Linked DNA regions of Lytechinus pictus. The protein of the gene in region 3 purifies or fractionates together with the protein of the main gene of each other region. This does not show direct contact. Links are inferred from orthologs where the notes say so. Each region holds a gene or a part of one and is shown on either strand. Other genes may lie near its edges. The genes, in order: activator of 90 kDa heat shock protein ATPase homolog 1-like, serine/threonine-protein phosphatase 5-like and heat shock protein HSP 90-beta-like.

What was found.
Region 1: the proteins of heat shock protein HSP 90-beta-like (region 3) and activator of 90 kDa heat shock protein ATPase homolog 1-like fractionate together in Caenorhabditis elegans (co-fractionation; 3 studies listed by BioGRID, with this or other methods). This does not show direct contact. The link is inferred for Lytechinus pictus from reciprocal best matches to the Caenorhabditis elegans genes hsp-90 and ahsa-1.
Region 2: the proteins of heat shock protein HSP 90-beta-like (region 3) and serine/threonine-protein phosphatase 5-like fractionate together in Caenorhabditis elegans (co-fractionation; 3 studies listed by BioGRID). This does not show direct contact. The link is inferred for Lytechinus pictus from reciprocal best matches to the Caenorhabditis elegans genes hsp-90 and pph-5.

Annotation. Positions count from the first base shown.
Region 1 is NC_087251.1:28,026,113-28,037,451, reverse strand, and holds the start of activator of 90 kDa heat shock protein ATPase homolog 1-like, read right to left. Parts: upstream 5,636-11,339; 5' UTR 5,274-5,635; coding exon 5,194-5,273; intron 1,080-5,193; exon of another isoform or gene 1,040-1,079; intron 157-1,039; coding exon 77-156; intron 1-76.
Region 2 is NC_087251.1:45,944,357-45,955,695, reverse strand, and holds the start of serine/threonine-protein phosphatase 5-like, read right to left. Parts: upstream 7,537-11,339; 5' UTR 7,492-7,536; coding exon 7,356-7,491; intron 2,942-7,355; coding exon 2,772-2,941; intron 2,255-2,771; coding exon 2,183-2,254; intron 1-2,182.
Region 3 is NC_087251.1:7,016,483-7,027,821, forward strand, and holds the start of heat shock protein HSP 90-beta-like, read right to left. Parts: upstream 7,333-11,339; 5' UTR 6,936-7,332; intron 6,277-6,935; 5' UTR 6,246-6,276; coding exon 6,084-6,245; intron 877-6,083; coding exon 670-876; intron 268-669; coding exon 108-267; intron 1-107. Other genes in the region: uncharacterized protein LOC129266063, read left to right, coding at 10,947-10,955. UniProt on the Caenorhabditis elegans protein: Molecular chaperone that promotes the maturation, structural maintenance and proper regulation of specific target proteins involved for instance in cell cycle control and signal transduction. Undergoes a functional cycle that is linked to its ATPase activity.

The DNA.
Region 1 (11,339 bases), about 21 Mb from region 3:
AAATGGGTTTAATTCTGATGAAGCAAAGAACAGCATTGTGAAATTAATAAAATTTCTCTAAGAAATTACAACTCACCCCTTTCATCTCCAACCTTGATATTTGTAAATAGTTCAGTCAATTTCTCTTTGGACCACTTTGATGCATCTCTTTCTGTCCTGTTAATAGAAAAGTATCGACAACATCAAAGTATAACGCAATAGGTTTTTTTAAATAATATTTTCACTCTAAAAACAAATTATCCATATATCAGATGGTAAATTAATTTGTTAAAATACCATAAATATTATTCTGCATGTTACGAAAACATGACATCTAAAATCTGAATTTTCTTTGCAAAATGCAAGACCAAAGGAAACGCTTTGCCGATTTATAGGCAGATACTCAGATGATTGAAAAAAAAAAGCTGCATGGTTTCAATTGTCTGGCTGGCAGTTGGCATGTAACGACTGTGCAATTGTTTTCCATGACAAAAAGACGAGATGATGGATGCGAAAAGATCTATAAAATCACTCAGTTATTTTCTCACAATTCCTAAAACAAACTTTTGTTCTAGCATTTTGAGAAGAAGTACAACTACAAAGTCATATTTGGATAATCTTTTGTCAAAAATCATGATTATCAAATATTTACACTTTTAATCTATATGCAATCTGCCAGCCAAGAAATGCTTTTCTAGACCTTGTTTACATGGAGAATATATGATATATTCTCCATATTCTAGACCTTGTTTACATGGAGAATATATGATATATTCTCCATATAAACAAGGTCTAGAAAAGCATTTCTTGGCTGGCAGATTGCATATAGATTAAAAGTGTGCCCTTTATTCAACATATAATATGTTGAATAAAGGGCAGGGGCTGTTGAATCGTGACCAAAAAAACATGCCGATATACTGTATGTATGTACACCTAGAGTAAACTCCCCAAATATTGGATGGTTCCAAATATCGGACGAAAATGACGAACAACTCCTTCCCCACAACTACAGGGACCAGAACTGGCAGGGGACTTGCATGCATGTGATACCTGAACATACCTGCAGTGCTATTTAACAGCACACACAGTAGATCCAGGTTGCTGCTAAAAAAAATATTCCAGTGGTAAAATCCATGGGTAAAATCCATGATTTTGACTTCCAAAGATTCTTATGAGTTATGACCCTCGCTAATTATGGCCTCCAAAAGATCAATGACCCAAAAAAATCTCGTAAGGGGGAAGTGATTTCCACCAGAATTATCGCCGCTGAGATCGCACATGTCTGATCTATCGCAAAAAAACGTGCTGTAGGGGGTAGTGAAGTGGAGCCTACACAAACATCACTTGAGGTAAATTATAATATAACATTATAATGAATAATATTTTCTTCTTTCCCACTACGTTTCTCTTCCTTTCTCCCTCTTTTTCTCCTTTTCCCCATTTTTTTTTTTTTTTTGGGGGGGGGGCACTCAGTATATAACGCGTGGTAGGTAGGTGCCGCGGAGGGGACCCCATTTTTACACTCAAATTTCTGTTCCAAGGCATAGCATTTTTATTTTTTTTAGAAAAAGAAGAAAGCTGCTCCAAAGCATAGCATTTTCTTCTTATCGAGAAAAAAGAAGAAATCCGTTCCAAAGCTTCTTATATTTTTCATTACGCCGTTCCAGCCGCATTGATCCGCTACAATGAGCTGCAATTTTGGCGAAAAGCGGCCGCAGAGCACTGTCCGACCATCGCCTCTGTGCGAGCACACACGGCGCCCATGCCGCCGGGCTAGCTGCATGCACGTATGCCCGTTCCATAGGGATGCATACGCACTCACACGCAGGCGACCCGTTCCAAGGACCCCCGTTTCACAAACACTTGTAGTTCCGAAGCCCGTTCCGAGGACCCTCCTTTTTACAATAAGCCCGCTCCAAAGCCCCCGTTTTTTGTCTCGCCCGCAGCACATACCTACCACTTTTTTGGTTGAGTACCCCCCCCCCCCGGGCCCCCATACACGTAGTTACACCACTGCTTCTGGTAGTGGTAGTAAGTAAATAATTTTTTCAATTCAATTTTTTATGACATTTAATATTTAACATTTGTACTACAGAAATAGATCTATGGCAGGGGGTCCTAAAGCTGCGCGGGTCCTAAAGCTACGCACCACTCATCGCGCATGCAGTTTTTATGGCAAATGCGCACTCTGTGTGTGGAACTGTGACTGCAGAGTGACGAACGATTCCTATTCAATTTTTTCTACAGAGGCTGCAGTAAATCTCTAAATCAAGGCTCCACATTAACTTTTTTTGGTGGTGGCCCGTTCGGGCCACCAAAACCATCAAAATTTTTTTTTTGGTGGCCCGATATTAAAGTTTGGTGGCCCGAAAAATATAAAGAAAAACATTAAAAATGAATAAAACAAACTTCTGAAATATTAATTCTGCAGCCACTAGGCCCTACCACTATGTTACTTTTACTTTATACATGTAAACCTTGTTTGCTGTTATTTTACTTTGCTAATTGATAAATGTTTCTATCGTTGTAAAAATGAAATGATTGGAAGAGAATAAATTAATTGTATTGTTCGCAGGTTGTGTGGACTTTTTTTTAAATCTCTGTATAGAGATAATGGTAAAGTAAATAAATAGTGCATAGCAAATTCAGATAGATGTACAAAACAATGGTTTTTCCTTCCTTCCTCTTTGAATCCTAAAACCTAGAATATGCATGCCCCAAATCCAGTTTATTTCTGTTTTCTCTTTTGCAGCATATTATAGAAGGAGAAAATCACAGAAAAATATGCTGCAAAATTAGAACAATGCATAAAAGGGGAAAACAAACGAAAATAATTTTCAAAAAGTATATTACAAAAAGAAAACAAAAATAATAAAAGAAATTAGTGAAATAAAACAAAAAGAAAATGAAGAAAGAAAAAACAAAGAACAGGGAAAAAAAGAAAAGAAAAAAATTAGAGAGAAAAAAGAAAAGAAAATGAAAGAAAAATTAATAAAACAAAGTTAATAAAAAAATGGGGAAAAGGGGAAAATTAAGAAGCCATTACATATATTTTTTAACAGCTGTGGCAACAGTCTATTCTGACTGGAATATAATTAAAAGCCAAGCAAATAATTTTCACTTACTTTTTGGGAATGGCACATTTTTATTTTTATATCCTTTAGTTTGTATTATTTTATTTTCAGTAGAAACATATTTTTTAATCAGGCATATTCAATGGGAAGGGGTATAAATGGTTTAACCACTGTCAAAAAAAAATGAAAGGAAAAAAAAAAAAAAAACGGCAAAAATTATATCTGGAAAAAAAGTGTGAGAAAAGTCCTTCCCTATATTTGCCAAAATGTTGGGGAAAAAAATCACATTTCATATCAATGAAATGCCTTCCCAAAGTATTTACTTTCTCAAGAGTGGTTTAAGAAGTCATTTATAAACAAGAAAGAAAGAAACTGTCTGTTTGTTTTTGGCTAGAAAATACACAGCTTCGAAAGAAACCAAGTATCAACATACATACAAATGCACACGTGGGACTGTGATGTACTTGCCTATGTGTTTTATGTGTATTAATTCATGTGGAAATCGGTCTTTTTGAGTCAAAAGAGAGGTCATAATTCCTCTTCTTAATACTTGCAAATAATCAGGACACACCAGATTTTCGTAATATAGACTGTAGAATTGCATTTCATTGGTGTAAAATGTGACTTTGACTGAGATTTTCAAAGTTCTGTGGAAGATTTCTCAGCAGCAACATTTTTTATCGCAGCTCCCTGAGTCTGAATAGGCTGAGCTAGATCTAGAGCACAGCTGTATGCAGTGGCTTCATGCAAAGCTCACGCCAGCCGGCCGGCGCGTCTGGCTGGATAATAGCTACTGTATGCTATAGCTGTAGGCCTAATATGCAAACTTTGTGTGTGTGTATTTGTGTGTAGATCAACAAAAAGGGCGCATGACGAACTGGCTTGCAATTTGAGCTGTAGAAAGTTGATAAATGCGTGCAAAATTGGGAGAAAAATTGCGCTACTTTGAAAATTATTGGTTGCCCGATTCGGGCCACCAAAACTTAACATTTTATCAATAATGGTTGCCCGAGGTGAATTTTTGGTGGCCCCGGGCCACCGCTAATGTCGAGCCTTGCCTAAATGCAGAGAAACCAACAACTGTTTGGAATTTTGGAGTTATATTCGCTTAAATTTCATTTTTTCCTATAATAATATGAATATATTTTGGAAATTGAGGCACAGGAAATACTATTTTTTTGCATGATAAATCGAGTGCGTAGCTTTAGGACCCCTTCTACATCGGGTGGCGAAATCAAGAGGTGTTCGGAAAACATGGCGGGATTTTCGTATTAGTGAGTTTTGCGATATTTTCTTCTTGGTTAATGATCTTTAGAATGTTTGCCACAGATTAGTGAAAGATATTTGTTGAAATATTAAAATTGGGATAGTTTTTATCGTTTGAAAACAAAGTGCGTAGCTTTACATGTAGGTCCCCCCATCATACACATGATTTTTAATTTTATTTGGTTCAATGATTGTATTTTTGTTTCGGTCCAATTATGATTAGAAGTGTCCGATATTTGGGCACTTTATTCAATATTCATAATCATATTTCAAGATTTTCAGTTTCAGAAATATCAAGACGGAAATTTAAAGAAAAACCATTGCAATTAAAGATGAACAAACTTTTACTAAAGACTTTTTTAGAACAAAAATTACTGCAGAAAAGCTTCACATGTTGTCTTGTTGAATTTCGGGAAGCTAGTAATAACGTAGTGGTAGTAGATCTAGATCTAGTACAACAATTTTATCACTCTTTCATAACTTTTGACTTTCAAAGAAACTCAGTCATGACGTGTTTTATTTCTTCATTTTCACTTAATAACAGCTTAAAGTTTAAATTTCAGTCCAATTTTAAGTGCGCAGACAATCAACAAGGGGGCATCCATTCATCATCATATGCTGTAATTTTAAAGGACTCTGCAGCCTATCTCGAAGATGAAACGACATGCGGACATGGCGCAGCGCTCCTTGTTCAAGTTGACAAACACATTAGCAAGCAAACGCAAGTTACGAAGCGGACACCACAACAAGGCAACCGGTCAACCCAGCCCGACAGGCCCGGCACTTTAATCTCCAATGGGTGTTGCACTAAGTTCTAGTACGGTACGAGTACCTTACGACTACGGCTACGCAGCTACGTTCGAAAAAAACTTACCAATGCCAATTATTGACGTTTGTGGCATCTGCTCGTTCCTCCACAATCCATCGAGGATCTCCTTGTCCCCACTTAGCCATTTCTACGGAAATATATGATTTTCCTTTGTATTATATCGAATAGTAAGAATGAGGCCAGATATCGAAATCTACAGCTACCAGCATGAAAAATCAGAAAATGCTAGAATTGTATACTTTAATAGTCTTATTTAATCAAACACTTAATAATATTATTTTTACTTACTTTTTCATACCTTTACAATATATTGCTAGCCCTTTAATTTTGAAATATTATGATATTATATATATTTAATTACCTTGATCTATGTTTATACGTAATCACATTTTTTTTTAATGTAAGGTTTACTTTTAGTTCTATCGAAATTTTAAGAAAACTGTCTGTAATGTAGTAGACTAAAATAATGACGCAAGGGTTCTCAATTACTGCACATGGTACACTTCCGAATACCATCATCAGGCGCGGATCCATCAGGGGGGGGGGGGGGGGCACAGGGGGCACGTGCCCCACCTTTTAGAAGCAATTAAAAAAAATGTAATGTAAAAATGCCATTAAAACAGAGATGTGCCCCCTCTTAAGAAATTTAAGACCTTTTTTTTTTTTTTTGCTTGTCAATTTTTTTCGGGTACGAAATATCCTTTATTTGTGGTTGAAAACTTTCTTTTTGGGGGGCTTGTCAAAATTTTCCTCCGAAAAATTTGCCCCCTTTTGGAAAATCCTGGATCCGCCCCTGACCATCATGACCATAATAGTTCGAGTTATGTATATACCATATCTCTATGATTTAACTAATTACTTCGAGCGCGAAGTGAGAGCTGAAACTTTTGATGAATTGTCATAAAGATGGATTTTAAGTAGTTTCAGAATTCATATAGAAGCATAGCAGGGCTTATAGTACTAATGAAAATGCGAGCACGCAGCGCCATGCAGCTGATAAATTTTGACGATCAGACTTGAAAAGGAAGATTTTGAGAAAATATGGAATACATGAAAAGAATAAGTACTTGAAACGAACCATATTTCATTTTCGGATTAACGAACCTCATTTCGTTTTTGGAATAACGAACCTTCGAAATTACGAACCTTCGGAATTACAAACCTTCGGAATATTGATCAACCTTCGGACTATTCGAACCTTCGGAATAATGACGCGTCGGAATTACGAATGTATGCGTTTATAAAAAGTATATAGCCCGTGATGTGATAATTACACACCACTTGAAATTTTTGGCTAAGGGGTTTTGGCAACAGTCTTTCTTCCACCTATATACTGAAAATTTGCTAACTCTCTATACTCACTCCCATTATCCAATAATCACACCTTATAAATGACGATTTTGGTCATCGTGTCTTTCAACTACTAAATATCTGCTCGCTCGCATTGGGATATTAACTAACTTAGTTCAGTAGTTAGCCATAAAAAACAAAAAAATGATGAGAGGCCTTTAACTGAAAGGTAAACGGATTATGTATACGGTTATAAATCCCCGTATACATAGCCCCAGCATAGTTGTGGGGGTGCCCCCCATTTTTTTAATGTTCAGGTCAATTGCTTTCACGCCCCCCCCCCCCCCCACTGCTCGGACCGGATTTACGTCATGTGATTCATACACAGGCAATATTTTATAGTTAAGAAGGAGTTGAGCAGTGTGCGCTCTGAAACCAGAATAAGATATCATTCTTATTACTCTTTATATATATATATATATATATATATATATATATATATAACTAAAGTTCTATCTAATAAATATTTATTTGAAGACCCCCAAACGATGGTCCCATAATTGAGAAATGATAATATTAAAGTGTTATAAAGCATTAAGAGAATATTTTGTGGGACAAATTCACGTAATCTTTTTTTAGACACCTATATTTCTAGAAATGAGGGATTTTATTTTGTTAACATGACTTTTGCATTTTTAATTTTCATCAATATAAATTCCAAGAAAATTTTAAACTCTCCACCCTTTCTACTTCAGTATCATTTATACATAATTTAACAGATTTTTCATCTACTGCCCGGAAAAGCAGTAGATGGCAGGTTCCAATCCCACTGGTTCCAACTTATGATGGCAGATAGCATGCGATCTTAAACTTATAAGAGTAATGCCGAAAATTTGTTCACAAAAATACATTGTTTCTACTGATGATCATAAAATTTGTTTTCTGAATATTCAAAACTAACTTAGTAATAGGGTCCATGTCCATCCCTGTACTTTATTAAGTTTGATATTTCATATTTTGTTGTAAATAACCTAAGTCACAGCTGTGGCTAAAAAATATAAATATTTGTGTCGTCAGCAAAAAGAACAAATTTTAATAAACTAGAATCCGGGGGGGGGGGCCACTTCCATTGACGAGTGGATACCATGCGCGACCAAGGGGTCTCGAAAAGCACCCTAAACACGTATTTTCCCAATTCTGAAAATGCACCCCTTGACAAGTATCGGCGTCTGAAACCCTACCCTTAACAAGTATTGGAAACAAAACGATACTCTTGGCAAGTATTCCCTGAAATGAACCCATAAACAAGTACAGCGATATTTGATTGTTATGTCACGAGTCCATCGGTCGTCGGTTTTACCTTTACAGTTTACACACCATTTGGTTTAGTACGGCCCCAGCTTCCACACCTCGCGCAAATCGGACTCTAAACACGTAGTGTTGGGGCAAAAAGGACATCCTTTATAAAACATTTTAATTTTGTTTTATCATCCCCGCAAATTTGACCCTAAACACGTAGCTTTCCTAGCGAAATAGATACCCTTTTTTCATTATTTTTGTGTTTTGACACACCCTTATCACGTTACGTACGTAACGTGCCCTATCTTGAAAAAGACATCCTTTTTACGTGTTTTTTTGGTCGCGCATGGTATATCCACTCGTCAATGTAAGTGGCCCCCCGGGACTAGAATAGAGATGAAGATCATCAACATAATTTTAAGAAACAGAAGAGGACCGAGGATTGAACCCTACGATATGCCTATTGATACTCTTTTGAACTCAGAGTGGCATGAATCATAAAGGACACATTGCTTTCTATTACTTAAATAATAAGTTCGTGTATTAATTTAAGGGCAATACCTCGTATTCCATAAAAAGATAATTTATTAAGCAATATGTCATGGTTAATACAATCAAAAGCGTTTTTAAGATCAATGAATACTCCAAACGTTATTTCGTTATTATCATAAGGATTTATAATGTCATTTAAAGAATCTATATCACAGCATCAAATGTACAATGTTTTTATAAATTATGATTAGTATTGAAATATGTAATTAGTATAATCTCATTTCTCCAGCATTTTGGAGACACATGATAATAAAGAAATTTATCTATAATTTGAGAAAACATTTTTTTAACCAGATGTATATACATATTTACAACTTGTGATATTTCAAAACTATCCTGAAATATATAAATATATCTTCCTGAATGGGATACTCAACATGCAGACAGGCTACAAAAGAACATGGCCTAGGATCTCTGCCCATCAGTGTAACACAGTAGCATACACAAGTCAAATCACTCTAACCTCAGGCCTTGTTCGAGGGGGCAGGGGCAAACATATCGATTTGCTCCCCCAATAATTTGGATAATATAGTATTCAATGTAAACATATGTTTGAAAAAGCATCGGAAAGCACCATGAAAGCATTATACTTGACATTAAAATCACGGGCGTATAAATCCGGGGGGGGGGGGTGGCGGGCACCCCACCTCCCACTTTTCGGAGAGGGGGTGGCATGTACAAGCATTCCCCACTTTTCAAGACAGAAACGAGATTTTTTTAATCATCAAATACGTACTATACGGTTCATGCGTGTATTACGTGGATGCATCTTTAAATGCAGTCAAAGTGCTTAAATTTGCCCAATTTCTCATTCTAAAAATGCAGCAAAATTTCTCGCGCGGTCGCTCCGCTCCTGCGCTCATTCTTACAAGATTTTAGCCATGACAAGTTCCTACGTTTAGCATATTGCAAATGTTATAATAATGCAGGGCCCGCTGGGAGAACAGTTTTCAGAACTGAAGCGGCTTCCCTGGGTAAATATACCTATATTATTATTATATTATATTATTATCCCCTCCATCCCCCGGGGGGGGGGGGGCACTTATTCCATTGACGAGTGGATACCATGCGCGACCATGGGGTCTCGAAAAGCACCCTAAACAAGTATTGACATGTGAAACCCTTCCCTTAACAAGTATTGGAAACAAAACGGTACCCTTGGCAAGTATTTCCTGAATTGACCCCTAAACAAGTACAGTGATATTTTAATTGTTATATCACGGACGTCGGTCGTCGGTTTACCTTTACCTATATACATTGGGTTTATTACGGCTCCACCTCGTGCAAATTGGACTCTAAACACGTAGTGTTGGGGCAAAAAGTACATCCTTAATAAAACTTTTAGTCTTAATTTTTATACCCCCGCAAATTTGACCCTAAACACGTACAGCTTTCCTAGCGAATAGATACCCTTTTTACATTATTTTACTGTTTTATGACACCATTATTACGTTATGTACGTAACACGCCCTATCTTGAAAAGACATCATTTTTACGTGTTTTTTGGTTCGCGCATGGTATCAACTCGTCAAAGTAAGTGGCCACCCCCCGGGCCTCCATCATGAGAGTATGGTTTTAATAGTAGTATTACGTCCATTTATGAATTGCATGATACCAATTACTCATTATATAACTTTGATCATAAATAAATAAAAACATCCTTTGAATACACTGGCGTGAATGGGGGGGGGGGCATCTTTGTGGAAGCGGGGGATAATTTTTACAAAAATATAGGTATATAAGCTATACGTCTAGTTATAAGAGTACGAATAGTTACTGATGGTTGACCAAATCAATGCCGTTACTGAAACACAGAGGCAAAAGAGGACAGCAATATTTCTCACTCACTTTACAATTTCATCCGTTTATAAGAGACTTTAAATCTTCCATCACAATCTAATAAATATTTTAAATATGAAGTTTGTTCCAAATTTTGAATGTTGAATCATCTCCTAATATAATCTTAACGATTAATTATTCAAAATCTTTCCTTTCTGCAATATTTTTCTTTTAATATTTGCATCATTGTACTATTTCCACGTTTTTGGAAGTTTGTATTGTGGCCTGATGACCTACAATCATTATAAGCACCCTTAATTAATCCCGATAATTATGATTTTTCATTCTCATCTCACCTTTGGCCAGTGAGCAAATGAGTTTTTATCGAACAAAATATGGACTGTTTAATACTTGTTTACTCTTTATATTTCTTTTTCCTCAAAATTTTGGATTTTCAGATCATTATAATCATTGCTGTCACCCCCACTGCTCGGATTTACGCCAGTGATTAAAATACTATTATACATAGAAAATTGTCAATTTTTCGGAGCTCTTAATTCATGTGCAAAATTCTGTTAAAATTTGCATGACCCTGCTTGGGAAGCGGGGATTTTCCTTAGGGTATAGCTGCATAGGCAGCACCCCCTTAATGGAAGATGTGTAAACATGGAAAAATGTATCCAAAATGACCTCCATTTCTTAGTAAAAACTTTTTTGTTTGTTTTGCTTTTAAAATCATTTATTTTACATCAGCACCCCATCAGTCATCAGTCAAAAAATCGTTCCCAGGGCCCTGAAAAATTGGCGCGCAGATTGAGCGCTCCGAAAATTTTAGATATGTTTTCACCTCACGTCCCCACCCACAATCTGAAGTATGGAACGACAACCCAAACTATAAAATAAATATTTTGAATAACCCCAGACTCGGTCAGGGAGAATATAGCGATCGAACTATTTTCTCAACTCTGAACTAAGTAAATTGCATTCCTGGTTTCTTGCCAATAAATTATTGATAAATCTTGAAAAAAACTAATTATATAATTTTTAAAACAAAAAACAGGAAAATTAACGAAGACTTGATTAAATTGCATATCAATAACAAAGAAATAAATAAGGTAACTTCATTAAAATTTCTTGGTGTTAAAATTGATAATAACCTTACGTGGAAAGATCATATTAATGAAATATCGTATAAAATGTCATGTGCTGTTGGTGTCATAAGTAGACTAAAGTTCACATTGCCACCTTTTATTCTCACTAATTTATATAAT
Region 2 (11,339 bases), about 39 Mb from region 3:
CAGACTATCAAATCTAAAAATGCATGTAAACTCATGCATGCACTATTGTTCAACCAATCATTATGCTTTATTTTGTTCAGAAATGGCAATGCACCTGTATCTTACACTGAAGTACTTTGACATATTATGCCTTTCCATTTTCTGGCCTAACACAATAACAAATGAAGGACTATATGAAAGATGCCGACAAAAAAGTTTGGAAGACACACTTATGAAGAGGAGGTGGAGTTGGATCGAACATGTACATGTATTAAGAAAAGAAGCGGATAACATAAACAAGGACAGCACTGCAGTGGATCCAAGAAGGAAGGGGAAAACAAGGTTTGCCCCAGAACACCTGGCGACAGACCGTGGAGGGCGAAATGTCTAACCTCTAAACAGACCTGGGGATCACAGCAGAGACTGGCCCAAGACAGACGGGAGTGGAGAGCTTTTGTTGTTGCAAATTATGCCAGAAGGCATAATGAGCAGTAAGTAAGTATTTATAGTTGAAAATGATTGGAACAATTACAACTCTTTATAATTTATAAGGCCTTGAACTTGTATTCTCAGCTTCATTTTTACATATTAAGGCGACCGCACATCTTACGATTGGTCTGCGACCCGATTTCAGAATGAAATGTAGTAGAATTTGATGCTAATATTGAGGCTTGGAATATCTTACTGTGTAATGTTCTAAATCATTGTACAAATTCCTATGTTCAAATCTGTGACTATGCTCTCATCCTTCTTAGAATAAAAGTGAATTTAATATCTAGTCGTAATGACGTCATAGCAGTCGTACGATTGGCTACGATGTGAAACTAATTTGGCCTTTACTCCAAAATAAAGGCTTGCAGTCTTTCAAAATGGTTATATTAGTATTCTTTCAAATAATTTAACCTCAAATAATATGATGTGTTCCATTTACATTTTCAGAAAATGAGCAAAATGCGATTTGTTCCGAAATTGGATCGCGAACAGTCGTAAGGTGTGCGGTGGCCTTTAAATGTAGACAAAAGCATATTTTGAGCATTCATCAAAAAACAAGGATACACAAAAGGACAAGGAAATTGGATGTACTGTGATTCTAAGAAGCATCAAATATGAGGAAATACTGTTACCAAAGGATAAGCTTTAGTTCTTTATCAAATTTCCTTGTCCATTCAATATTACCGAGTTACTTTTAAAAAGGAAAACGAAACCTTTGGAACAAGTTAGCTTACAAAAAGTGTGAAATAAGATAAATCAAAGAATTAAGATAAACAAAAGAATTAGTACAATTAGACAAGCATTAAGAAAGTACCAGTAATGAGCATTTGAATGTTAAAAACACTAATGCTAGAAGTATAGAGATCTTCCCATTGGCATTACAAGCAAAATGTATAAGTGATGCCATACATGTACATGAACAACTCTCCCATTTGGACAATGATAAATAACCATAGAACATCTCTTTATTTTCATTCTAATAGGCCAAACAATTCATCCATGATATATTGTTGTGAAACCTGTAATACAAGTCCTCTCATAGAAAAGGACACCTGATCGTACTACAGAGTATAGACTAGATGTAAGAAAAAATGTATATGAAATACATTGTATAATGGGGAAGTTGTACACGTGTGACATCACAGATCTTGGTGGCATTGCCAATGGGAGGATCTATATAGTAATAGCGATCTTAATATTCAAACATTCTTAACTTTCTTCTTTTTTTTCCCTTTATTTTCCTTTGCCTTTATTTCCCTCTCTCTCTTTTATATGAATTCAACTTGTTTCAAAGGTTTTATTCCCTTTCAAGGCAAACATCCCCCTCTCAAACATGCATGTTACTATTTTAATTCTTTCATAATATCATATAAATGTGTATGTCCTGAACCAATTATGGCGAGAGGAACATGAAATAATGTGTTCCACTGAATAAATCTTGTGATTTATATATTTTCATTCATCAAAAGCCAAGAGTAAAATAAAAAATATCTGCATAATTTTTGCCTTATTCAAAAAAATTTAAAAAATACTGAGAGGGTGCTCTATATCCAAAATTCAACTTTTCAAAATGAATCAAAAGCTGACAAAAAAATATTGGATGATAATTTGTGAATAATACACATCAATGACTGTTTCATACAGTTTTTTACACAGGTTTTAAAAGATAAAATTAATTTCAGCTTTTTAACAGATTAAATTAATTTCTTACCATTTCATAGTCTTTCAACGCTATCTTGATTTTCCCAAGAGCCATGTTAGCTGTAGCTCTCCTGTAGTATCCCTGAAAAGAAAAACATGTTTACACACAAAATATAAATCAATAAATATTGCATAGAGAAATAATTTGATTTCTATTTTCATACAGTAAAAATTACATTCTCTAGAAATAAATGAAATTTTTATTCTTCCATCACATTCATAACAGTCATCAATCATTTTTTGTTTAAAACATGATTATTCTGTAATAAGTTAGTAGGTTAAAAACCGTCAAAATACTTGATCGTTCATATTCAAAATGATTTACACAAGTCAAAAAGAGAAGTGACAAACATCATCACACTGAATATTGGAAATTATCTTATGTTCCAGGTGGCAAGCGAAAGTTCTTTTTTTTTATCCTCTTTTTTTTGGTATCATTTATAACATAAAAGTATTGGTTAATATGTTTTCAATCTTTCAGTGCAGTATATTTAATCGCAACAAACTCTATATTCAATATTCCTATGTTTTCAAATGATGTAATATTGGTTTTATTAACATTATGCAACCATTTTATGATCAAGCAAATGATAATTCACCTTGATATAAGACTTGTCCAATTCCAAGGCCTTGCTTGCATCTTCTAACGCTGATCCAAAGCATTCTGTCTTCAAGTAAGCAAAACTTCTATTCCCGTAGAAAGCAGCTACTGTGGGGTTGATCTCTATAGCCTCGGAGTAATAGGTGATTGCCTGTTGAAAATCTTGAGCTTGAATGGTTCAAAACAATAATAAAAAGAAAAATACTTAAATACATGGAAATTTGAAAAAATACACATCTACTGTTCAAACTGAAAATAGATGTTATTGAATTATAAAAATAAAAAGAAGAAATATAGGAAGAGAAAAACATGATTATAAATATCCAATAACAATCACAGCAGTTCATGTTTGAAGAGATATGGTGCAACTGTGTAAAATTTTTGAAATCAGACTCCAAAATGTTTGAATTTTCCCTACATGTATTGTACATGTATATGTATGTATATGAGATTCGTGCACATTCCCCTAATACCTGCGAGTTGCTGCTGTTAACAGCTCACACCAACAGCCTGGCCTAGCCCTCCAGCTAGCTCCCAATGAGTTGGGGTTTTGCACCGTACCGCAGACCACATTCTGCATGCTATAATAGAAGCAAAATCTCGGGGGTCGATTGCACTAAAACCAAAACATCCCCAACCTTGGAAAGATGCGCAGCAGTCAGTTTGCTATGCGTGTGCCGATGTGTTATAACTTTACGGTGAAATTGTCCCAGGTACGTTCCTCATTTTCTCGTTGCATGAATTAATTTGCACACTAACACTAACTTCATCGGTCACTCAGGAAATGTGCACCAGCCAATGGGCATTGGTTGCGGTAGCAGCACCACGAGCACAGACTCGGGTAATGGGGAAAAATCAAAGCAAAGCAGTGCAAGACCATGGATTGGTTCACGAAGAAGAGGTTAGTGTCTAGTTTAATCAATGTTTCTGAAGTCATTGAATTAGAGATTGTCTGTGTTTTTTTACGAATGGAGTGAAGTGTTTAATGTGAATCATGTTATTACTACCTCATGCTGTTCTTTTTTTTTTAACTTTTAGATTGACGAACTTATAATGCAAGTGCACTACATCTACAGCAGGTCTGCCAAGTGGCGAGAAGTGAAAGCTGTGGCTTCAGCACCGAACAAGCATATAGTCAAGCCAAGTCGTTCACAGAGAACCAGATAGGTGGACCATCGCCGAAAAAGTACTGAAATGCTTGGCTACCAACTACCATTGCATTGTCAGCCAATTTGAAGAACAAGCATCTGGTCAGCGTAAAGACATTTCTTCAGCTGATGCAGCAAAAGTGAAGGGCTATACGAAGATGCTGAAATCTTTTAAGTTTGTGTTCCATATGAACTGCTACATGGATATGGTGGAGCATATTGCAGAGCTTTCCCTTAGCTTTCAGAAGGATGATCTACCAGTTTCCAGTGTAGTCAGCAATGTCCTTGTAGCGCAAGCTGGGCTGAATCGGACGGAGGAAAGACCAGGCCCTCAACTAAGGCACTGAACGGGAATGAGGCAGAAGAGACTCCAACTTTCACTTTCCAGGATTTCCAAATCAAGGTCACTGAGAAAGATGTTGCCGATTTTCAGACCAACAAAGTGAAGGTTCTTAAAGCTGCAAGTTCTTGCCTGGAGACTAGGCTGGCTGACTTCGGTGATGGACCCAGTTATCAAGGCAGCAAAAATACTGGATCCAATCCACCATCCCAACTGATCAGCAGTCATTGGCAGACTTTAGCATAGATGAAATCAACACATTGTGTGATCACTTTAGACCCTTCTTGATGGCAAAGGGCTGTGACGTAGACCTTGTTGAGGTTGAGTGGATGAATCTCAAACAGCAAATTTTCCAGCCCTCGCAGAAAGAGAAGTTCCACCATCTGTGGAAGAATGTTCTTGTTTACCAGGAAGATGTATCCCGCAACTTGTGCCAAGTCATAAGAATACTGCTAGTCCTGCCGACATCGACATCTCAGGTGGAGAGGCAATTCTCAACCATCAAGAGGTGCCAGGAGGACTGGAGACTAAGTCTCAGCACTTCAATCATTACAGAAGTATTAAGGATATCATCAGAAAGTCCAACACCATCAAAATTCGATCCACAGGCTGCTGTGCAACGTTGGTTTCTTACAGGTATTGCATCAAGACGGCCATTTGTCCAGCCCTCTGGAAGTAGAGTCTCTACCAAACGAACAGCAGATTGGTCTTCAGAGAGTGATGGATCTTCTGACTGAAGCAGGCAAGAGGGTTTGTCGCGCCTTGTTGTATGAGTGATGTTTGAAATTATTATGTGAAATTTTGGGGAAATAACCCGGTCTCGTTGCCGAGTCACATGCCTCGAGTTTGAGTCCGAGACTGAATCCGGCATAAACAGACTCGAGTCGCACATCACTGTGTAATATTGGGGGATTCCAGCCCGAATGGGCTTCCTTTGTAGTGGAAACAGCCAGGCCAACTTTGGCGTTTCCAACTACTGAACTGTTGTCATCTGCTGCTGGTTGCCTCATGGTGGACCCAGATCGAGTGCCGGGTGCAACTCTGCTGGAGATGACCAATCGAGAGCCAGGATTTGGCATCACGTGACCGAGGTTGGAGACGGCGACACCATTTTTGGAGACCCCTTCAGATGTACGGAACCAAACCTAAACGTTGAACTATACTATTGCTGTTGTCACTTTTATGCCAGATTATTGCTGATTTGTGCTGTATTTATTGTTGTCATTGGATTCATCGTGGGATATCACTTACGGTGAGTCTACTCATTTATTGTATTCGTATATCAATGTGTATTTAGTGTCATTTAGGCTATTTTAGTGCATCTCATAATTGTTCGACTTGAGCACTCGAACAACACCTTCAAAGTTGGTGCAAATTACATATTCGCGTTTTAGTCAGAGGCACACAGCCAATATGGGAGACTGTCTCCCATGTTGGAGATTATCTCCAATATCAGAGACTTTTGTCAAGAATTTGGGTATCCAATTTCAGAGCAGAGACAGTCTCCAGTTTTGGAGGCCTATTTCCTTTATTTACATTTCCTGCAAAAGGGTTACCTTGGCAGAAAATGGAAATGTGATAAACAGATTCTTCTTGAAAATCATCCCTTTTCAACATCTACTCTTGCTTTCATAAGGAAGCTGAGGCTTAGCCTGAGCCCCACCAATTTCCCGGGGTAAAGCTTAGCCCAGGCCCGAGTTTTTATTTTAAGGCCATGAGTAGTAAGGTATTAGATTTGCGTCCGAAAATTTTTCAAATGACATGAGGCTTTTTTTCATTATTCATTATTTACTTCTAGTACCTACTTTTGACGATATTCTTGCTATCTACTTGCATATAGTGTATGTAAACATTACTGTACAGTGGCAAATTGTATAGAACGGATAGCGGTGCGTTCAACGCTAGCAGGCGTGTACATTTTGCTTATTACATGACGTCATCCAGCCACTGCCGAGAGCCAATTTATGAATGAAAATATAGTAAGCATGCGCATTGCAAGCCTTCCATAGCCCCACACAGTATTCCACCAAAACAAGTGTGCAATTCTCTATCACCTTGTACCAAAATCAACCTAGAATTTCACTTTCCTATATTATATATGAATTATGAAAGGTATTCTTGGAGGATCTATTTTCTCACCAATACCGCACAGGTAAGTGAATTTTGATTACTTCTTGCTTTTCGGTCAAAATCTTACGAATTAGCGTCGATATGGCATCGTGTTCGTTGGAGTTTGTAGAGTCTATCGCAACGTGTACAAAGTCAATTGATTTCCGGGTTTCGGAGCGTCGCGTGAATATGCATGAAATTGCCGAGTCTCGATAATTTTTGATCGATACTGGAGCGATCCGATCACGAACCAAGACCATTTCCTGCGTAGACAATGTGACCGGATATCGTTATCACTATCGATACTTTCGCACGCAGTCCGAAGGAATTATTTTGGCGACAACGTAGTCATGAAGTGATCTGCTTGTAATTTCGTGATGGAGAGTAAGTGATGGAGAGTAAGTAATGAATTTTTTTTGAAATAATTAAATTTTTTTGAAATAATGAAATTTTCATGCGGGCGGTGGATGCAAATCTAAAACTTTCATTCTCTTGGCTTAATTTTTTTTAATAAAGAAAAAAAAAATTGAAGAGCCCATTAGGGCGGTTTTGTATTGTTAACCCCCTAATGGAGGCTGCACGATTGCAAGCCGAGTTTGAGGGGAAATCAAAAATTAAAAAATGTCAAATTCTCCTCGAAACAGCCAGCTGAGAAATTTGTATCATAAAAGACATTATTATCAAGCAAACTAGACTAGAAGCTCCAGTTTCTATTTGTTGGGTGTTCTTCTAGTAGGAGATATTTTAAATGTGAAAAAAAACATATTTAAAATTCCTCCAAACAGACGGATTTCTGATGCCTACATGGAAACGTGATATCTCGTACTCGCTTACGTGCGTAAGAAATCGCACGCGTTGGTATAGGAGCCGTACGGTACCGGTTCCTATATACATGATATATCAACAGTTTAATGGCACTTCCCTTCACAGCAACGTTCATTCCTCTCAATTGCACTTTTAAAGTTCAAGAAATTGCATGATTTACCTTTGAAAAATGTATTAGCTTTATCTTTGAGAGCCTCTGCTTTTTCTCTGTCGACATCACTGATCTCTGGCTTGTCTACTATTATGTCAGGAATCGCATTTATTTTCGATGAATCACCGGTACCTGCCATCTTCATCCACGTGAAATCTCTCCATGTATTTTTCCGTATTTTTCTAAATTGGAGTACGGTATCTTCGACGGACAATCAGAAATGAAAAGGTTGTGAAGCAATTTTATGGTTGTGAAGAGATGAGAATCTTTTATGAGTTCAGGTGTAATGTTGATTAACAGTTTAAGTATAGACAAGCAAAGTTTTTCTTTTGCTCATACATTTTAGAAAATTTATGGAGTGAAGTGACTGCATGATGGAGTAAACAATGGATAACAACTTTGATTTGAAGGTTCTTTTTTTCCTTTTTGGTAAACATAATATATAGCCTCTGGAACTGCCCCCCCTTTGAATATTGCCATCCACGTTTCTAACTTACACCCCTACACTTTTCTGTCCTCTTTCATCCTTTCCTTTTATCTTCTCCTTATCCTGCTTGTTTAAAAACTAAACTCTTCTCTTCCACTAGCTATACATAGTTTTTTTCTCATCTTATTCTTCTTCCTCATATTCATTCACCACTTCATCTTCTCTCATTGTTCTTCTCCTTCATCTCCTCCATTTTCTTAAATTTAATTCTTTCTTTTTCTTAAATTTAATTCTTTCTTTTTCCTTTCTCTTTCTCATTCCCCTCTCCTCCATTCTCTCGCTCATAAAAGTGAAAATAATTTTCCAAACTTGTTATGAAATCAGGAAACCAAAAATAGTTACAGAAAATGCTAAATACTTCACAGGACAAACAAAAACTGTATGCAGCATAACAGACTTAAATTAACATATTGCAATACTTCATTTATTATTGAACAGGGTGCAATTAAAAAAAGGGAAATTAAATTTCTAATATCTTAATGAAAAAAAAAAAAGTTGGTGATAGTTAACAATAACGACATTAGTTTTGAGGGCAATACATCACTTAACATTATTGTTCTCAAAACTGTAGTTGGTTCACTTGCACACTAAGCACATTACAAGCAACAAACATTAAAAACATGAAATACGTAAAGTCATTAAATCACATTTGTTCATTAATGTTTTAGGAATTTCAATCTTTATATAACTTTTTACAATAAACCCCAAGAAATTTCAATCAAAAACATAGAAATAATGATTCCCTGAATTAATTTTGATAGTAAAGAAATGATATCCGATGCATTTGGACAGATTCAGAGTTGGTCTGTTCAATGGGCAATGGAAGGGAAACATGTGCTATAAAAAAAAAACATATCTATACAACAATGGTGACCCTGGGGTCCGTTGCAGAAAGAGTTGCGTTTAAACGCAAGTCCAAAAATCAATCACAAGTCCCAAATGCGCGCTGTTGATTGGTTGAAAATCAAGTTGCGCATGATTTTAGAGTTGCGATTGATTGCAACTATTTCTGCAACGGGCCCCTGAAAGAGTTGCAATCAATTGCAGAAAGAGTTGTAATCAATCGCAGAAAAAGTTGCAATCAATCGCAACTTGGGGCAACTTGGGGCCCGTTGTTTTCTTGGCGATTCAGTATGCCCCTCTTCGTTTACAAAAGGACATTGTGCAAATTTCTAGTGGGAACAATTATGATATTGATGGATTTCTATATAATTAAGGTTGATCGGATGAATTAAGGTTGATCGGATGAATCACAACTCTTTGTAAGACGGGACCCAGCAGTCATAAAACCCAATTGATGTATCATTCAAATACCAATAAGGTGTACTTTATTGTGATTTAATCATTTCATTGTCACTGACTTCATTGTTTTCTCACAAAAAAAAATATACAAAATTGGTTTTCTCCTTTTGACACCATTTACTTTGGTATATTGCAATAAGTATTGTGAGAAAATAGAATGCATGTTTTATGAAATGCCATATATCTTTCCATCAAAATTCATTATACTGAATTTATATTACAGTACTAAAAATAAGCATATAATCAGAGTAACTGATAATTTAATCAGTTTTAAAACTGATGAAAAAGATGGAACTTCAACTACCACTGTCAAGGCAATCTGGAAATGTTCGCTGTCACAGAAATATTTTAAAATCAGAGTACCAAAATTGAAGTAAAATACCCATTTCGAAAGAAAATAATAAAACATCTAGGTGTGAACCCCCAACTATTTTTTACCATGGGTAACGTGATGTCCATTTAGTTACTTTGCTTATCTTCAAGCTCACAAAATTGTATTTTTCATGCATTTCAATATATTGAAAATGTTATAAATATAAAACACATTAAACTGTACTCATATCATGCAGCATGTGTCGTTCACTTTTCTTCCTAGGATAATTAGTGTACATAGCAACCATGTTTGATTACATGGTTTAATCTTTGGCAAACCATATTACATTATTCTTACAATGTTCAAAAGGAAAATATCAAATGTATAATAGATTACCAGCACATTTTCATTTGCAACAATCGAGATCTTTAAAATGAAATATTTAACAATAAATAAGCTCCATAAATATCGTCAATTATTATTTTCTATTATGATAAACTTATTTGAAACATGAGGAAGACTAGTCTTTATTCAGTGTGCAATCACTAAGATCAACAAAATATTCTCGGCAACAACAAAATATAACCATGAAATTTTATTCTTTCATTGCCAAAAAATGTGTGTGCTAAATTTCATGAGCATTTCCTGAAAAGCAAGTGATTCATCCCGGGCAGTCTCACTTGCATTACACAATTCAAGTATAGCAGCAGTGTTGATTTTGTGATATTAAAATATCATACACTCTCTCCGCTCTCACTTTAATTTACTCTTTGAATATAAATTATTGAATTAATCTAAGATAACTATTGCCATGGTCCTGCTGATTGGACCAAAAGCCTCTTTCATTGGGCTTGAAACTTTTTTATATTCCTTTCAATTTTACAAATTTATGCAGTAATAGAAAAGTGGGTCATTTAGAAAAGCATCCTGGCAATGGAAATAATTGAATTTAAATCCTGAAATTTGATAACATATTCATACAAAATTATGAATTCTCAAAGTGGCAGCATGAACTTGACACAATTATCTTCATACAAGATTCAAGGAATACAAAAAAATAATTGGATTTGATATTTTTTTTAAATAAGGAGGAAACATTATTGCTGGCTCCCGCAAGAAAGGGACTTGGGGTAATTTTCACGATTTTTTTTTATTTCAAATATTGAAAGAGCACATTGTAGGCTATCCAATGATGTAAAGGTTGATTCTAAATTTCAAGTATCACTCAAAATATCATCAAATCAAAAAAGGGAATAATAAAAAAATACAATCATAAAAATAACCACTAAGTCCTTTCTTGTGGGAAGCCAACTTGATATAAGAAACACGCAGAACTACAAGTGTTATTGGACATGCAGTGCAAAGAAGATTTTTTTTCGATATGTGCCGCACTGTGCACAAACCTTAATGGGAGTGTCCAGTGTGCACCATCAGGAGAAAATATTAACTGAATTTGAAGTAAATTAATGATGCTGCCCTCATCATGAAAACCGGCACTGCTCTCACTTCTGCTATGCAGGTGAGACAATGAGAAAATACCTGAATCTGAAAAAAACATTATTTACCTGATATATTACAGCAATTACGTGGCACCTGACCACCCCCAAACAAAACCAGGATCTGGGGGGCGTTTCATCAACATTTTCGTCCGACAAGTTGTCAGATCTGACAACTTTCCTTGATAATGATTGGATGAGAGTCACTGTTACCATAGTAGCTGTCGGATAAAACAGTACTTGTCGGATAAAATGTCCGACAAGTCCTTTCATGAAACGCTCCCCAGAAGACACCCAAGATAATCAGATATCTTCTCTCTCAGTAAGGTACCTTATCAGACACTAGGATATGGACATTCTTCTCACAGCTCATAATATGAATCATGCTTAGGGGT
Region 3 (11,339 bases):
TTGAAGAATTTTCAGTTGTCGGTTTTGTCTGTCTGATTCAAGTAACATAATTTTCAAGCTTAAAGACCCCTTTAACTATAATCCACATGCAGACCTAAATGACTTACTTGGAATTCTATGAACAGTGAAAGAGCCACCAGCACTAGATTGCCACATGTAAGTTTCATCATCATTGTTCTTTGAGTAGACAGTTACTGTCTCAGCTACAAGGTATGCAGAGTAGAATCCAACACCAAATTGACCGATCATGGAGATATCAGCTCCTGCCTAAAATGAGAATTTCAAAAAAAATCCACATTTTCATTTCACCATTGAGAACTTAATAATCCCTGATAACTTTTAAATGTTCAGCATAAGTTCCTCTAAAAATATATTAAAATTGTTTGTTTAACACATGTACCATTTCATCAAACACATTATTTTCAGTGATATTTTCAGCTGTATTTTACTCTTTCCAACAGCCACAAAACATGGAAAATGTTAAATTTTTCATATTACCATTATGCAATGTAGAGCCAAATCAGGCCTTAAATGTATCTGTTTTGGAGGCAAGGCCACTATTCTATCTCAGTCATATTTCTATATTACACCACAAATGAGTAGTCATCTACAGCTATGACCTCCGACCAATTCAAACCCTGCATAATCGCGATTAGTTTTTACGCATACCTGCAGGGCTTCCATGAAGTTCCTGGTGCCAGATCGGGCAATAGTTCCAAGGTTGTTGATCATGTCAGCCTTGGTCATCCCAATACCTGTGTCGATGATAGTCATTGTCTTCTCATCTTTGTTGGGAATAATCTTGATAGAGAAATCCTTTTCGGCTTCAATCTCACTGGGGTCAGTCAAAGACTTGTAGCGAATCTTGTCCAAGGCCTATAAACATGGAATATCAAAATTCAATTCAATTCATTTATTTCACTCGATAAAAATAACATACATACAGGTAAATAAGAAATACATAATGGCAAGAACAAAACAAAATAACAAAAGTGATAATAAAGTAGTGTACAGAGCAGGCTTCGAGTGTGGACTGGCATTAAAGATCTGTTAGATCTTAGAAGTTCCAGCCCAGTAAAGAAAGAAAAAGAAGGGATACAAAATAGAACATACAAAGACAAAATAATGCAAGGGAAAACAAACATTAATAAAGTTAAAATGAAGTGTTTGCCTTTCGAGGAAAATGATAGAAAAAAGGTAAAGGACTAGCGTATGTGGAGGGTCACAGAAAATCGACAGGTGAAATTAGGGAGAATAAGTGTAGGAGAAAGGCAAACACAGAAATTATAGTCATGTAGTCTTAGTTATTGGATGCGAACGTTGTTAACATAATTTCTTTGTACTGACGTTGAAAACTATTCAGGGATAAACTATTTTTAAGGGTAGGGGGGAGAGAGTTCCATAATTTGGGACCTGAATACATTATAGTTTTTTGGGTAAAAGTAGTACGGACGGAGGGCATGTGAAAATCAAATTGTCTACGAGTTTGGTGAGAGTGGGTAGCAATATTAAGACAAAAATATCTGCTTAATGATTCAGGAATTATCTTTTTGTGACAAGAATACATAAATGATCCAAGGGATAGTTTATAAAGGTCAAATACACTCAGGAATTTTAATCTTTTAAATAGGACACTGGTGTGAGCATTAAATGAAGTCTTACATATTATTCTTACTGCTCTTTTCTGTAATTTAAATAATCTTAACATATTTAGGTTATTGTTGGCTGCGGTGGCCCATACAACATTACAATAAGTTAAATAGGGATAAACCATTGAATAATAAAGGTTGATTAATATGTTTTGGGGAAGGAAATTTAATTTATTCATTACACCTATATTTCTTGAAATAATCGAACATAAATAATTAAAGTGATTGGACCAGGAGAGTTTATCGTCAAGTTGGATGCCAAGAAATGTTGTATAAGATGTGTGTAGAATTTCCTTACTGCTGAGATATATATTAACATCGTTGGGATTGAAGTGGCGATTTGAAAATATAATTGATGTTGTTTTAGAAATATTTATTATGAGTTTATTCTTGACTAACCATTCTTCTACATGAACTAATTCTTGATTGAGATTTTCACATAATTTATTTACATTATCATTTGACAAGGAAATTGTTGTATCATCAGCAAATATTGTAAAATGCAATTTTTTTGAAGTAAATCTGATATCATCTATATATATTAAAAATAGAAGGGGACCTAAGATTGACCCTTGAGGAACACCATGCATTATGATCTTAGATTCAGAATTATGCTTCTTATATGTAGTATATTGTTTACGCCCCGACAGATAGCTGTTAACCCATTTTAAAGCTGTACCTCTTATTCCATAGCAGTTAAGTTTATACAATAATAATTTATGGTCAAGACAGTCAAAGGCTTTTGATAAATCGAGAAATAAGCTAATAGTTGTTTGTTTGGTGTCAATAGCATTAGATACATAATTAATAAATTCTATAAGGGCAGATGAAGTTGAATGTTGTGGTCTAAATCCGAATTGATTGCAATATAATATGTTGTGTTTATTTATAAAATTTAAGATCCGGTTATACATACATCGTTCTAATATTTTTGAAAATATGGGCAATAATGAGATCGGCCTATAATTGCTATATACATTATTTTGTCCTTTCTTATATATGGGTACGATTTTTGCTATTTTTAATTGGTCAGGAACAATACCATTATTTATAGATGAATTAAATATTTTACAAAGTGGTTTGCATATGACAAAGATTACTTTTTTTACAATGGAAACATCTACACTGTCAAATCCAGGACTAATTCCATTCTTTAGTTTGCTGGTTACGTCAATTATTTCAGAGTATTTAATTGGAGTAAAAAATATAGAATATGGGTTCTTTGGTAGAGGAGGGCAATAATCATGATCAGTTGATCCTATGTTTTCTGATAGTAAAAGAGGAGCCACATTAATAAAATAGTCATTGAATTGAGTTGCAACCTCTGCATCTTCAAGGGTGATTCCATTATTTTCAAAAGTAGTATGATTTGACCTTTTAGTTTTACCCAACATATTATTCAATATTTTCCATGTTTTAGATGAGTTACCTTTGGTGTCTTTGAAAAGCTGATCATAGTATTTTTTCTTTGTTTTGCGTAGTTCTTTAGTAAAAATGTTTCTCAAAGACCTATATTTCTCTCTATTGCTATCGGAAGGGTTTTTAAGGTAGTTACGATACAATTTTAGTTTCTTCTTTGACAGGCATTTTAAATGTTTATTGAACCAAGGTTTATTTAAAGAGCTTTTATGTTTAGCAGATATAATAGGAAAACATTCATTGTATAATTTAAGGAATATTGATAAAAATCTATCATAACTACTATTTGGATCATCATCATTAATAGGCCAGTTGACGGAAGAGAGTTTATGGTAAAAGGTTGCAATGGAAGTGTCTGAAATTGACCGTTTAGAATAAGCATTGCTAAGACTATCTATTGAGGAAGGGATTTCAGTGATGATAAAAACAGGTAAGTGGTCACTTACATCGGAAACAAACACTCCATTCATTAAGTTATTTTCATCATTCGTTAATATATTGTCTAGGAGGGTTGCAGTGTGACCAGTAATACGTGTGGGTACAGTTATTAGCGGCGTTAAAGAATTGGTATTAATACAGTCAGAGAAGTTCTTGGTGGTTTGAGAAGCATTCATATCATTGAGATCTATGTTGTAATCACCAAGCAAATAACATTTTTTGTGCTCGTTATTGACAATACTCAGAATACAATTCATTTTACAAATAAAATCATCTACATTTCCTGAGGGAGGTCTATAAATTATACCAATAATATACCAAGAGCGTGAGTTATTGTTTGGTTTAACCTCTATAAATATGGTTTCTAGAGATTCAAACATGTACGTTAAGTCTGGTCTCTGTTTATATGCTAGAGATTTATTAATATATACTGCAACTCCACCTCCCTGTTTACATATTCGATTATTCGTTAACATATCATAATTCTCCAAGTAATAAAGAGGTATATGTGAATTAGGTTTGAGCCATGTCTCAGAAAGGCCAATGATTGTAAATTCAAGGTCAATACTATTGAGAAATACTAATAAGTTTTCAAAGTTCTTTGGAACACTCCGACAATTAACGTGTAAAAGAGAAAACATATTCTTAGGATCTTCATTTTTAAGGATATTACAATTATTAAACTGGTTTGGAGTATAGTAACAAGATTCAGAGGAATTGTTGCTGTCGTCAGCATACTGTAAATGTAACATTGTGTCAGTATCAATAGGTAAGGGATTTACAAACATTTTACAAATAAACACTTAGAATAGAAAAGTTGAAATGAACAAAATGTTTAAAACTAGCGAACGGTATACTATGCAAAATTGAACCAAGAGGTGACAAAATATGAGTAAAACAGGCAAATTTCGTAGTAGTACACAAATTAGGATGTAAAAAGTAAAAAGACAATGTAATAGAACAGAATACAAAAACTGAAGAGATTGATAACAAATGTTTCGATGATAACTGTGAGTTGCAGTGTAAGTCACTGGCCTGGAAGTCATTTCACTTTATATTATAAAGTGAGTGTTCATGCTATGGTGAAAAGAGTAGAAGGATTATCATCCTTTAAGGCAAAATTATTCATATAAGTTTGACAAGGTCTTCCTTTGAGTTGATTTGCTTTTTCATAGTTTTGTTGTTTGTACATCGTACAGTTACAATAATCCTCCCGTCCATGGACCAAGCTGATAATATTTTGCTCTCTGGTTTGTTGATCTCCTTAAAGGCTAAAATGATATAGTAAGACCTATCCCTTGTTGTAAGTCCCAGTTAAAAAAATAACAAATATCTATGTTTGACAAATGCATCCACATGGAATTTCAATCGTTACATCTCTATTTTATTACAGTATTAGATCAACAAATCTCTGATCATATTTCCAGTTCTAAATAGATACCTTCTCAGCAATTCAGTTGGTGTTCACAAGTGATTATTCAATCTATGGAAGGTGACTCATGCAAAGTCCAAGTAGAACTCTATATTCTTTTTAGTTAACGAACACAGCTAGTTTCTTTAAAAGTCAGTGAACTGTACTCTGAAATGACTAATTTGCTGTGTGGTTCAGATCCTCCTATGACCAAGGATATCTAGACATTTGGATTGAAGATCGTATATGAATTATAGCAGGGGTGCTCTAAAATTTCAAAATGAAATTCAAAATGAAACCGTTCTGAACTTGGGGGAAAAGCAAGTAAATTTTGAAACAATGCCTACTTTATCCGGGAATTGCCTTCTGAGGTCAAACTAAACTTTTAATCTAGAAATTTTAAGGCTGTATAATCCTGGGCTTAGAATAGATCGGATCTAAAAACTTTTAGATCTTTCCTTAACTTAAGTTTATCACATTCCAACATTGGGGACAAGTAAACGGGGTACTCCATGCTGAAAAAAAGTATAAAAAATCAAGACTAAAATGTTTTATAAAGGATGTACCGTACTTTTTGCCCCAAGAGTCAACACTGTGTTTAGAATATGATTTGCGCGAGGTGTGGCTGTACTAAACCCAATGATGTAGGTAAAGGTAAAACCGACGAAAATACGTGTTTAGGGTGCTTTTCAAGACCCCATGGTCGCGCATGGTATCCACTCGTCAATGGAAGTACCCCCCCCCCCCCCCCCCGGGCCCCACCTTCTATTTTCTTATGTTATTATGTGAGAAAATGTGTGTATGATGTCTCCCATGTAATAAAAATCTTGTAGCAAGAATACCAGTTGTCCAAATTTTTTTATTTGAATAAACATAATTTTGTATAGACAGATCAAGTGAGGATATGACATCAATTTGCTAAATGTATATTCATGAAGACATCCAAAGAACTTAACACCAAAATAATGTCAAGCTTTTAAAATTGTCTTAACTTTGATTATCTTTGTCAAAATTTAATCAAATTTTCAGTGTTTTGATTGTCATATTTTTCTGCCAGAGCCCAGAGTGTACACACCTTTCAGTTAAGAAGAAAATTCATCTTTTCCTTTTACCCTATCCAATATTATTGCATGCGCTGCAATTTGGAATTGATGAAACAAACTTACATCAGATGAATTTGAAATGAGCTCTCTAAGGAAGATCTCCTTGTTTGAGTAGAATGTGTTGATGATGAGGCTCATCAATTGAGCAATCTCTGCCTGGAAGGCAAAGGTCTCTGCCTCTTCAGCTTCCATTGGTTCTTCTGGACGTTTGGTTTCAGTTGACATGGTGGTTTTTTGTGATCTGTATTAAAACTGACTGCAATGAAAGAATAAAAAACTTTACCACAGATTTTTAACCTAGGCTAGACCTATGCTATAGACATAGTATGCCATGGGCAAAGATTCCGCGTACAAAACTGGAAAAAAAACCTTTAAAAGCATTTTTTGGTCACGCATGTATACAGCAAAATATTTGACTGCCCCCCCCCCCCCCAGCATAAATATTTTAAAAAAACACTGCTTTTATTTAAAAAGTTTTAAAAGAGAATTTTCATTTTGAAAAAAATGTCCCCAGACATGCCAGACAAGGAGCAAAATTTTGATGAAATTGAAACAGATCTAGATTCTAGGTCTGGCTTTAGAAATTAGAGATTAGATCTATCAAAAGTTGATCAGACTAGTAAGAGTAAGACTAGGCTAGTTGAAACCATGATCAAGAATCATATCTAGACAATAAAGACACAATAAATCTCACCACTCTTCAGATCTTAAATCAAATTTAGACAAACTTTGTCACAAAGCGTTTCACAATATCCAGACCAGATTCATTCAACTTCAATTCAACTCCCAGTCAAGCCTGCCCTTGTAAACCCGATCCAAACTTCACTTGTCTGACTTAGTCAATTGAGTTGAATAAGGAAATAATGTAGAATAAACTTAGAATTCAGGTAGAAAGATCTTATATACCTAACTTACCTCTTCAAATTCTCGAAAATTCTCTTCTAGAAGATTCGTCAGGAGCAGGACAAGTCAAGACAGTCTACGGCACCGAAACACTCTCGCGTGATTAATGAATGAATGGATATGAACATGTGCGACCGATCCGACACACAATATGGCGAGGCGGCGCCGAGGATGCATATGGGAATTGCATTCTGCATGCACTGGCGCGGGGATGAATTGATATTAATCCGCGGCCATTCAATTCCAATATTTTAGGCTTATGAAGTCAAAAATTGTATTTTAACTAATTTTTCAAGAACATAGATAAAATCGTACTCAATTTTACTCAAATTTTTAATTTCTGGTTTTATTTTTTTATATTTCCTTTGAGAACTATATGTTCATTATCAGATGTGCTTCGGTTTTTCTAGCATATTCGACACCGGATGCGGATATAGGGTTTTCCAATACTTTAATTGAGGGTAAATATTTAATCAAGTCAAATTATTGTCGTGTAATTTGATTTTTATTCTTGCAAAATAAAAATAAAAAAGCGATGATGAACTAGTTATTATATATTTTACTACTAGCAACACCAATAAAGTATCCATAAAAATGTAAAGAATACAAAAGTATCATGTACTGCTTACCGATCGAAAAATGTTTTCGTCCAAATAAAGCGGTAAAATTCACCAATCAGATTCAATTTGAATATTCATCGATTTAAATGCCCGATTGTATGCACGATCTTTGTAAAAAAGCGGCATTTTATCACGATATTTTTTTTGGGGGGTAGGGTAGATGTATTTATCGATTTCCAACAATTGCACAAATTGGTGCTATAATGTTCACCAAACCAATCATAAATAGTTCTAGTATGATCCATGGTTTATTCTCTATCGCTAATGTATCTGCGCATCAAACTTTGATTGTGCAAGCACAGCTACAGAAAGGAAAATGTAATTGAATCTTCCACATGTTGGCAACAAATCGCATCGGTGTGTATCATAACAGAAAAACAGATAAATTTTGAAAATTAATCAGAATTGAGGAAGAGCACATTTTAAGTTATATATGGTTTATGGCAAAAATACTTTAACTCGCTCAGATAACCGAGAAATCAGGAAAATGAATAAGCTGTTTCTATATAGACTAGTTCCTCACACTTTTCTAGTCCCACCTCATTTTTTAATTTTTTTGCTGAAGAAATATAGATTCAGACCACTTTAGTGTGTGTGTTTCCATATTCAAATCAATGCAATTTAAAAAAAATTTAATTTTCCTTGGACGTTCCAAGCACTTTTTGTAATTATGAACTGGATGGCTATTTAATCAAACAATTGATGCGAGTGCGTAGCACGAGCTGAAAAGTTTTTGATATATGAAAACTATGAATACGCAGGATGTGTATTAACGATTAATGAAAACTCTAATAAATATTGACTTGAACATTGGATGTGAACAAGTTATCTACTTATCTTTTTGGGGGGGGCAACTCACAGGGGGGAAATGCCCCCCGTGCCTCCCGCCTTGGTGCCGCCACTGGTCTGGAGCGGAGCCCCCGGAACCTCGCGATATTTAAAGGAGAATGAAACCCTTGAAACCAGCTGAATCCATATCAAAGAGAAAAATCAAAGAAACATATTGTTGAAAGTTTGAGGAAGATTGAATGAATAATAAGAAAGTTATGAGCATTTGAATATTGAGATCACTAATGCCATGTAGTTCCTCCCATTGGCAATGCGACCAAGATCTGTGATGTCACACACGTACAACTCCCTCATTACTTTAGTACTTATTTCACTTATATTCTCACTTTTATAGAGTCTATCACAAGGTGAGGTGTTCTCTTTATGAGAGGACAAGTACAGAGGTTTCACAACATTATATCATTGATGAATCGTTTGTCATATGATTAGAATGAGCAAAAAGAGATGTTTTGGGCTATATTTTCAGTGTCCAAAAGGGGAGAGTTGTTCATCTGTGACATCATAGATCTTGGTCGTATTGCCAATGGGAGGATCTCCATAGCATTAGTGATCTCGACATTCAAATGCTCATAACTCTTCTATTGCTAGTCCTATTTTACTCAAAATTTTGTTGATCTTATTCTCTGATTTTTCTGCTTTCACAAAAGCTAACTTGCTCCAAGAGTTTCATTCTCCTTTAATAAAATCGCAAATGACCACTTTTTTATCAAATCGCTGATAATGAACGAAATATTTTTAGGCAGCACAACATAGCAAATATGGAAAAATTTGTAAAGTCTCCAGCGAGCGAATCGAGCCAGAAAAATTTGGTCTTTTAATATGATTTTATTCTAGTAGCTTTGGAAATTTACCCAAAGTGAACATTAATTTTAAGGCTTTTACGGTAAATCTAGCCAGCGCAAAGCCCCGCGGAAAGCTTTACTTAGGTTAGGATAGAGGGATATAACTAGCCCTTGGCTAACCCTTGGCTAAAGATTTTTTTTGTCCTGATTGCGACCATTAATTATTGCATATAATTTAGCAAGCTTATTTTAGATGCCATCCACATTTCTTCCCGTTCTATATATTTTTCAATTCTCGGCAGCTCGGTCGGGTTATTAAGTTTTTCTCTTTTTTTCTTGTCCCTTTTCTTCTGATTTTCGGATCTACCTTCATTTCCTGTTTCTTTTTGCCTCTTTCTCCCATTTTCCCGTCACATGTTCTTCTTTCGTTCCTTATCCCGCTTTCCTTCCATTTTCCCTATTTATTTCCTTGCCCTTTCTTTTCATTTTTTTCCCTTCTTCCTTTTCCTCTTTCCTTTCTTTGTTTCCCTTTCTCTCTTCCTCCCTTTTCTCCTTTTCCCGTTAAAAAAAAAAATTCCCGGTGAAATCCGCCAGGGGGCAGCTTGCCCCCTGCCCCCCGCCTGTTACGCCACTGTTGAGCCGCAATTTCGCGAAGGGGGCCTACGATTTTTTTTACCAGCTTCCTGAGTTTATATAAAAATCCGTAAAACGGCTTTTTTTCGACACACCGTGCGGACACCGGAGGAGACATGCGACTGAGTCTATTATCTTCTTGTGATATTTGTTATTGGTATGTATGGTTGTTTTATATAGGCATATAATACAGTAGACATAAAAACAAACATGCTATAACATAGCCTATGTTATACAATTGTTTATGTATATTGTTATCATTATGTCAGACCCCATCCCATGATTGAACACAGATTTATATTATATCAGCTCTCACGGGCCATCCAACCATATCATATAGGCCTACACTATCATGGACATGGTTGTTGTTTGTGAGTTATTGTTTATGTTATATTGTGTTTTTATAATTTCGGAAATAAAACAAACAAAACCTTAGGATACGATAGCTACAGATATTATGCGTGATATAAATATTTAAAAAAAGACCAAGAACTTAAATTCTTTTAATAACCATATTTATAGCATCTATCAGCATTAAAATTACTTCCCGGTTCTGAAATAAAATTCTGATAGATTTTCCTGACTAGATCTTAGTCAATCTTATTTTTTTATACAGTGGATCCACTAAAAAGCAATGTGCAATTCATGTGCTGACCTTGCTTTGACATTGGGTATTTCCACATGACGCGTATGGCAAGCCGTTTGTGTAAAAATTAGATAAACTCTGTTTTTCTCAAATAACTGTTCTTTTCAGAAAAACTCAGTTTATCTCAGATAAACACAGTTTTTCTCAAGAAGAACTAAGTTCTTCTTGAAAAACTAAGTTTATCAGTTGATAAACTTAGTTTATCAGTTGATAAACTCAGTTTATCTGTGAAAAACTGTGTTATATCAGTTGATAAACACAGTTTTTCAGATAAACTCGGTTTATCTGAGAAAAAAAGAGTTTATATAGTTTTTACACAAACGGTTTGCCATAGACGCGGGAATCCCAGCTGGGATTCCCCACAGTGCAAGTGGCGAACATTAAACTTGCGACATGACATTGTACGCATATTAATGTGGTCTCACAAAGGACCTACATCTTGCAAAAACTGTACCATATTGGGATTTAAATATTATTGTGCGTGTAGCTGTTCATGGCGTACGTGAGTATTGCAATGTGTGTATGTTCCAGTTTCACTGATTCATGTAGGCCTATTTTCTATATCCCAGATCATTTTGAACTTGAAAGAAGACAACCAGTGCGTTTATAATCTTCGACTTCATCATCTTGAAGCATCACTTCGGGCAGCACTTACTCTGGAAGAATTAGAATAACCATCGTGATAAAATGTTGCTAATGCCCTTTGGCTTTGGTCACAATTTATTTTAGTGTATACTATCAGTACTATTGCGATAAGAAGATTCTAGGCCTATAAAGCCAGGGGCGTAACAATGGTCGGTGGCCAGGGGGGGGGGGGGGGGAGGGGGGCAAGAGCCAAAAATTTCCCGGTCATATCATGGTATGTACAGGATTTTTTTTTATTGTA